2 linked regions of the Coturnix japonica genome follow. The protein of the gene in region 1 purifies or fractionates together with the protein of each later gene. This does not show direct contact. Links are inferred from orthologs where the notes say so. Each region holds a gene or a part of one and is shown in the gene's direction. Other genes may lie near its edges. The genes, in order: TRAF7 and MAP3K3.

Region 1 (3,814 bases):
GTTCCAGGTGCTAAGCCGAGGTTTGGAAATCTGGAGGGGAAGCTGGTATTAACATCAAGAACACCATCTCTTCTCCACTTCCTTTTAAGTTCTTTGATATCAACTGGCAAAGGCCTTTTTCACTGCCTTGTGACAGAGTTCATCGGCAGGCTGCTCTGCAGACATCTGCTCTGTTGTAATCGCTCCTGTATTTGATGGTTGCAGGGATTTGGGCTGAGATTGGCTGTTTTTGTGGCAGTTGGTGTTATGAACGTTGGCACATATTCCACTTGATGTTTTTTCCATTGCTTGCATTCTCCTGGTTTCTATTCAGACGAGATGCAGGGCAGGTTACCTCCTGCTGCTCACAGGTAGTTTGCTCAGCCATGCTGCAGGGTTTGGGGTGTGAACAAGGAGTGGAAAATCCCTGTGTTCCAACCCGTGCTTCCTTCCTTGCTTTGGATTTATCCACCATCTATTGGATCTTGCATTCCTCTGAGTGGGCTTTGGAGCAGGGGAATGTGCATTTTACTGGAGAGGTGCCTCAGGTTGTCCCTGTTGCAGGCAGTTTAGAACTGTTGGAGCCGCACTGCAGCTGGGAGGCAGCTCCTCAATCTGCACGATGCAGCAGCACGGTCCTGCTTCGTTCCTGCTGTTCTTGGACATCAGCAACTCTGCTTAGCATTTCCTAAGGGATCTGGCATTTACAGGCAGCCAGGACGGAGCTTCGTAACGTTTGGAAAACATTATTCAGATCTGTGTTTTCAAGATAGTCCTGGGCTTGGTTTGGGGGTTTTTGTTTGTTACTTTGGGTTGGGTTTTGGTTTGTTTTTCTTCTTTTTTTTAGCCTGTAGCTTTTCCCAAGAGTTCAGCTCCAGGGGCAGTGATCCCTATGGATGCTGTCCATGCAGGACACAGTGTGCTGTGCCAGGCAGCAGAGCAGTTGGTCAGGGGCTGGGGATGTCTCAGCATCATGTTCACAGCATTTAAAATGTGAGCGTAGGACACATGCAAAGCTGGGGCTCTTGGGGCTGTGACTGAAGGAGCTCTGCATGAGTCCTGGGTCCCAGCTGCTCTGTGTGGTCGTGTCACACCTTGAGCCTCAGTTTCCCAATACTACAAAAGAGGTGATCACACACTGTTATGAAGTGCTTGGAGATTGAGGATGTGTCACTCTTGGATGAGAGAAGATCCTTTGCTAGGTGGAGCCAAGTTATCTTACCTCCCCATGAGCCTGCAGCAGGAGCAGCTGCATGGGGAGGAGCAGCCCCAACCCAACTGCAAGCAGATGGTCCTGCAAGGAATGGGACCAGGACCACTGCCCTGCCTGGCTGCAGCCCATGGTGCTTGTAGGGTGAGAGCCAAGCACAAGTGAAAAACAGATTTGGGTTGTGTTTTAGTCAACTGGTTCTAGCCAGTCACTTCTCACTACTGTTGTCTGTCTGGTCTGCCTGCTTAGCCCTTGGACTCTGTAGCTGGCAGGGAGAGCACCAAGATTTAACTGTACCTTGGATAAAAAGGGATCCTTAATCAGGATTTTTCTTGAGCAGCTTATTCCTGGAGCACTGGGTGGGCTGGGACAGGCTGTGAGTGCCAGCAGTGACTTCCAGCCACAAGGATGAAGGGGAAGCCAAGGAGGAGAGCTCCCTGCTGTGCCAAGGCCACAATGGGAACTTCTGTCCCGGGCAGCAGCATCTCCTTGGGATGGCAGTGTGGAGCTGCAGCTCCTTCCTGGGGGAGCAGCTTCAGTACCCCCTCTGTAAAGTTCTTTTAGTACCCTCAAGCCAGCATCAGGTTTCAGCAGAAGAAAGCAATCTCCATGTGCTTCCACAGGTTATTATTGTGCAATACTTTGACTTTGCAAACTTGAACCCGGTAAACAACTGAAGAAGAGCAGTGAGCCCCTCTACTGCCATTTGAGGGAGGGGATTTCTCTCTCTGGGTGATGATCTGTGGGCTGTTTCTGAGCAGAAATTGAATGAGATCCAGAATCACAGAAGTGTTAACTGAAGTAAGGTTTCTTTCTTATAGGGATAAGGGCTCTGCTGGTGCAGCTTTACATCCTTTTGCCCTCTGTGCATGCGCAGCTCCTTTGGCACTCTGTAGGTTCAGGCTTTGTCCAAGGCTTTGGCTCAGACCTTTCTGCCTGTTTGGGTTGTGGTGTGCTCTGAGCTGGGACTGTCAGACACAGCTGGCACATGTGTCTCTATGGGTCTCATTTGGAACCGAGTGATGGTGGGACAGTGGGATGCTGCCTTTCTTTGGCTGCTGAGGAGTCTCATCTGCAATTGGAATGGTTACACATTTGTAAAAGCTGCTAATGGTGATGAGTGTTCCAGTATGTGGGAGATTAAGGAATCATTTAAAATATGCTGGATTTTTGGAACATGCTGGATGCTTCTCCCAGGAGTGGTTTGAAGGGGCCTGACTTTGGCCTTGCCACTTACTTCTGAAAATCCCAACTTATGTGAGTTTAGGTAAATACTTGGACTTAATACTAGAGGAAAGCGTTCTTTGAGCCTGGAAGTTGTACAACAAACCTAACTCTCTTTCTGTCCTTTTTCTTCTACAGAGCAAACTTCCCATGACTAACAAGTGCTGGTCTAGATTATGACCTCAAACAAGAACGCTCGCTTCAATCGTTTCTCCAGTGGCACACCAAACATCACTGCTTCAGAAAACACTAACGGGGTAAGTATAGGTGCTATGAGCTGGGGCTGCTTCTCTTGTTCTCATCCTTTCTTTCCCACAGTGGTGGAAAATTTGATGCTTTTCACATCACAATCACAGTATCCACAAATGAAACTTAAGAATGCATACAGACTATATTCATATATAGTCACCAGTTCGGTAGAAGTAGCAAGAATTCAGGCTGTGCTGCACTGATACACACTGACATTCATTCTGTCTGTGTTTCAGACAAGAATGGAAACAACTTTTGGGCCGGCGTACTCTGCTGTGACGACTATCACAAAGGGTGAGTGCATTTCATTTGTGGGGCTTCTCCCCAGAGCACTGGGCATGAATCCCACCAGGCTTCTTCTCATTGTTGTTTCACAGAGCTCACAGAGCTGTTGGGGCAGTCATTGTGTTTTACTTGCAGACGTGTGACAGAGTACTGTTTTTAGTATTACACAGCCCAAGTGTCACTTATTCATGACATTTGCTCACCAGGTGTGGTGGAATGAGAATGAGCAGAAATTAGAGAACCACAAGGAAGATCTTACTGAAATTAGGATGGTACAACAGGATCTGATACAAAACTTAGTTTCAAATCTTATTTATCCATGTGATTTCTCATGCAACCATTACCAGGGCTGAGAATTCTGATCTTCACTCTTTGCCTGTGTGTCATTCTGGACGCTTTGGTAAATCCCCTGTGCTCGTTTTTAGCTCAGACAGGAGGGGGTGTGAATGTACCTGCTCATTTAAAATTCTTCTGCTTTGTTCTTCAAAGCTCAGCAGGTGAGGAGTCTGAGCTCCAGCATGCAGCGTGAATGTGGGAAGAGATCTGGTTTCACTTTGCAATAAAAATATCCTTACCTTAGTAAAGATAAGAAACTGGCACTTGACACTGGTTTAGATAAGGAAATTAATGACCTGCCTGGAGGGAATGTTTGGATTACATGTGTAAATTCTCGATCATTTTGGACTCCTGAGTATTTACATTGAAAATGTTGTGTCAGTCAGTAATACTATCCTTATGCAAACCTCTGATTTAATATAGCATGTTTCTTTTGTGCTACAAGAAGTATCCAAACCTTCCTAGATCTAAGTGATTGTTGATAGGTGACTGATGTTTGTGGGAGAGGAAGGCTTCCTATTATTAGCATTT
Region 2 (3,814 bases), on another chromosome or scaffold:
GCACATTCAAATATGATACTGCCTCTGTTCTGTTTCAGCACCACTACTACCAGCTTATTGTACAGTAAAGGTTAACATGAAGCATTGGTATTGTTTGCCTTTCCCATAAGCTAGGTGAGCCAATGTCATGGAATAGACTGCATCGCTGTAGTAGTGGTCTCATCCCGCCAGTGAGGTGGATGGATTTTTTAGGATGAAATATTTCCTAGGGCTGGAACCTAATTTTCTTCTCCAACATCTGTAGGAAGTGAGTGCCCTGGAGTGTGAAATTCAGCTGCTGAAGAACCTCCAGCACGAACGTATTGTTCAGTATTATGGATGCCTGCGGGATCGAGCAGAAAAGACCTTGACCATCTTCATGGAGTACATGCCAGGGGTAAGAGCTGACACAAATGGAGATGAGTGGTTTTGTTTAAACTGGGTGATCCATTGTGTCTTGTAGTTGAAATACGTTCTCTTTGTTAATCACTAAAGCCAGTTCTATTCCTTGAGTGTAAATTTGTTTTGCCAAAGTACTTGAAAGAACTTGGGTCAACTCGTAAATTGGGCTGACTGAATTAGGAGAATCATGCACTGCAGCAAACTAGCATAAAACTGACCCTGCAAAAGGGAAACCTTCAACCTGAATCTGTGTGCTAAAGTAGTCTATTGCTCGTATCCACAGACATCTGTACCAACACAGCTAAAGGATACAGAAAGCACACAAAGTCCTCAATGTATTTTTGCTGTAATGTCCTTGCTTTTCTCAAAAGGGGCTTCACAGAGCAAGAAGTTCTGTGAGCCTCACAGAAAAGGCTTTAGAAGAGAATTCATTCATGTGCTGGCTGGGTATATAACATGGTCTCAGCTCTGGGAATTGAATGGAGACTGCAGGATTTGTGGTATGTCATTCCTTTACCAGTCTTTTCTGTTTGGTTTTGGCACAGGGGTCGGTGAAGGACCAGCTGAAAGCATATGGTGCTCTCACAGAAAATGTAACTCGGAAATACACTCGCCAGATTCTCGAGGGAGTCTCATACCTTCACAGCAACATGATTGTGCACAGGGACATAAAGGGTGAGATCAGCTGGTGATTTTTACCATGTACTAAAGGAACTCAGAAAAAGAAGCCGAATGTTAAGGATTCACTATCCTGGTTGGAGCTTCTGAACATTGCTTTGTTCAGTATCCATTTGTCTTGTATCCTGACCAGGCCTTAGGGAAAGGAGGTATTGTGGACTGGGTGAGGGAAGTTGGGTTGTTTCCTGTACAGAACCTGAGCGCGTGGCAGTTGGTGTTTATAGTTAAGGAAGAATGCAAGCCTCAAATTCATTCTTAGGACTGCTCAGCTGTAACTCCTCATCTTTCTCCGACTCCTCAGCAAAATGAGGTTAAGTTGCCTCCTAACTTTCACTGCCCTCATAACACATTTGTTTCCTTGTGGATTCCCTTCTAATTTCCTTTCTGACCTAAGTGCTGTTTCTCAGCTGGTAAACATACAATTGCTGCAAGAGCCCTGTGCCTTCTCTTGTCAGTCTTGCTTACCTCAGGCTCTTGTGACTTGTCCTTCCTGCTCTGTGTAAGAGACCTCTGTAACCTTCCATGTAGAGCTTGTGTGATTAGTCTTCCTCTTCCCAGTAAAACCCCATGGAGCCAGGCAGTCTCCTTAAGAGTTAATGTCAACAGATGTGGCAGGCACCACACAAGTTTTTTTTCTGTGCTCTGGAGGGACAGGAGCATTGCTTGCTGCAAGAAAAATATCTTCTTGTTCCTGCCTATAAATCTTCATCGCCTCCCCTCTAGGGCTGGCAAAGGGAAATGAGCTGCTGATTCATGAATAACACCTTGTATACTGCTCACATGGTATTCTATACCAAATGATTTCCTTCCAATGGATTATTCAATAACCTGCACCTATCTTCTAAAGCGAACAGTTCATTTGTCTCCAGGGTGCTGGATGGAAAGTGTTGTTATTCTGAATTCAGCTCTCTCAGTGGGATAGCAAAGTGGTAAAGCCATCTCAGAACACAAATTTTACCAGAGGGCAGAAGGAGTTCACATAGGCATATAGCAAATAATGGCAAAAAAGAGTTATTGATCCTGTTGTAGCTTTGAAGGAAGGTTTGTTGTGTGTGTATGTCTAAGCCTTTGCTTGTATCCACACATAAGGTATCCTCTTAGTTTGCTTTTATTTCCTCTGTGTTTCATGTTCAGGACCTCTGACCAAGTAAAGTGGGGATTGACTTGTTTATTGTAGGAGTTCAAAGTGGTTTAATTAGATACATCTGTTAACTATTGCTTTCTGGTCAGCTGGGTATATCCACCAAAGCAGTATCCAAATAAAATCCTTTTCTTCACAACTATGTACTATCTAAGCCATTGGCCTAGGGGCCCTGTATAGTTTGTCTGAACTGTTTACAGGCAGTGTAACAATGACAGTGCTGACTCAGCTTTCGTTTCCCCTCACCCTTCGCTTTCTTATGTTTTTCCCCTGAAGTTTTTTCCCATTTCTAGCCATTAACAGCTGGCTTGTCTACAGCCTGAAATAAAGAAATGATGTTTAGCACGTCACCTGGGGCTTAACAGGGAGAAAGCCATAGCATGAGCCTGGGTATTTCTGGGTTAGATATTAGCTCTGTAGGCTGCAAATCCAACAGCTGGATTGCATGAAAACAGCTGTCTCTATTCTTTTTCTTCTTTCTTGTCCAGGAGCCAATATTCTCCGTGACTCTGCTGGGAATGTGAAGCTTGGGGACTTTGGGGCCAGCAAACGGCTGCAGACAATCTGTATGTCTGGAACAGGCATCCGCTCTGTCACTGGCACACCATATTGGATGAGCCCAGAGGTGATCAGCGGAGAGGGCTATGGAAGAAAAGCAGACGTATGGTGAGGGTTTAACTTTCTGCCTATGGATCAGTTTACAACTTTTCTGGACATTTTGCATTCTGTTAACCATATATCCAAACTCAGATTTTGTCTGGATCAAAAATGAGAGCAGTTTAAGGTGAACTGAAGGTTTGAACTTAAGGCTAGGCCCATTGCAGGCTGTGCTTTGTCATGTCAACACACAGCTGCTCATTTAGTGTTTAGGTCAGGATTTCCATTAATTCCTCCCTCAAGCTGATAGCTAATTGTCTGACTTTCTGGCCTGAGGTTTCCACCATTCTTATGTCCCTTATGTTGATAAGGGACTGAAGATTGTTTGGGGAGAGTCCATTCATTTTGTTGCAAAATGAGAGTTATGCTTATAACACTGGAAATGAAAGGAACAGAATTTGAGTATGTTGACAAAACCTTGAAGGAACGATGCCTGAACCTGGAATAACACATAAGATACAGGCCAGATCAGAGGTGATCTAAAGTATGCGTGAGTGGAAACTATAGCCCTGCTATTACTGGCATAGCCAAGAAATATTCTCTATCGAAAGGAAAAAGCAAAATGGTCCTGTGTCAAAATGTTAGTTTTGGAGGCCTCAAGAAGGTAAGATTATAAAACCAAGCTAAACGACAGCAGCATAAAGTATGTTAGTGTCTCCACAGTAAAGGCCTATACTGTTTCCCATACAAGCAGTGAATGGAAGCATAGCAGAAAGTTAACCTGTATGCAAAGAGTTAAGTTCTTCAGAGTCTCCCAGTTGGGATTCTTTGGGAGAGAATGGAGCACGTGCCCTTCCCTCTGGATTGATGGAGTTGTGGATTTCCTCTTGGTGCTGACAGTCCATTCCCATCAAAGAGACGCTGCCGTTGGCTGGGTTCCAGTTCCTACAATCCCAATCATAATTTAGGGGGGTCAGAATTTTCCAGTGCAACTTCAGTCCCATGGTGGAAGCGTAT

The links.
Region 2: the proteins of TRAF7 (region 1) and MAP3K3 purify together in Homo sapiens (affinity purification with mass spectrometry; 5 studies listed by BioGRID and IntAct, with this or other methods). This does not show direct contact. The link is inferred for Coturnix japonica from reciprocal best matches to the Homo sapiens genes TRAF7 and MAP3K3.

What each region holds. Positions count from the first base shown.
Region 1 is NC_029529.1:6,371,727-6,375,540, forward strand, and holds part of TRAF7 (E3 ubiquitin-protein ligase TRAF7), read left to right. Parts: intron 1-2,551; 5' UTR 2,552-2,589; coding exon 2,590-2,670; intron 2,671-2,898; coding exon 2,899-2,956; intron 2,957-3,814. UniProt on the Homo sapiens protein: E3 ubiquitin and SUMO-protein ligase that plays a role in different biological processes such as innate immunity, inflammation or apoptosis. Potentiates MAP3K3-mediated activation of JUN/AP1 and DDIT3 transcriptional regulators.
Region 2 is NC_029542.1:2,207,444-2,211,257, forward strand, and holds part of MAP3K3 (mitogen-activated protein kinase kinase kinase 3), read left to right. Parts: intron 1-244; coding exon 245-376; intron 377-926; coding exon 927-1,056; intron 1,057-2,212; exon of another isoform or gene 2,213-2,688; coding exon 2,689-2,866; intron 2,867-3,578; exon of another isoform or gene 3,579-3,742; intron 3,743-3,814. UniProt on the Homo sapiens protein: Component of a protein kinase signal transduction cascade. Mediates activation of the NF-kappa-B, AP1 and DDIT3 transcriptional regulators.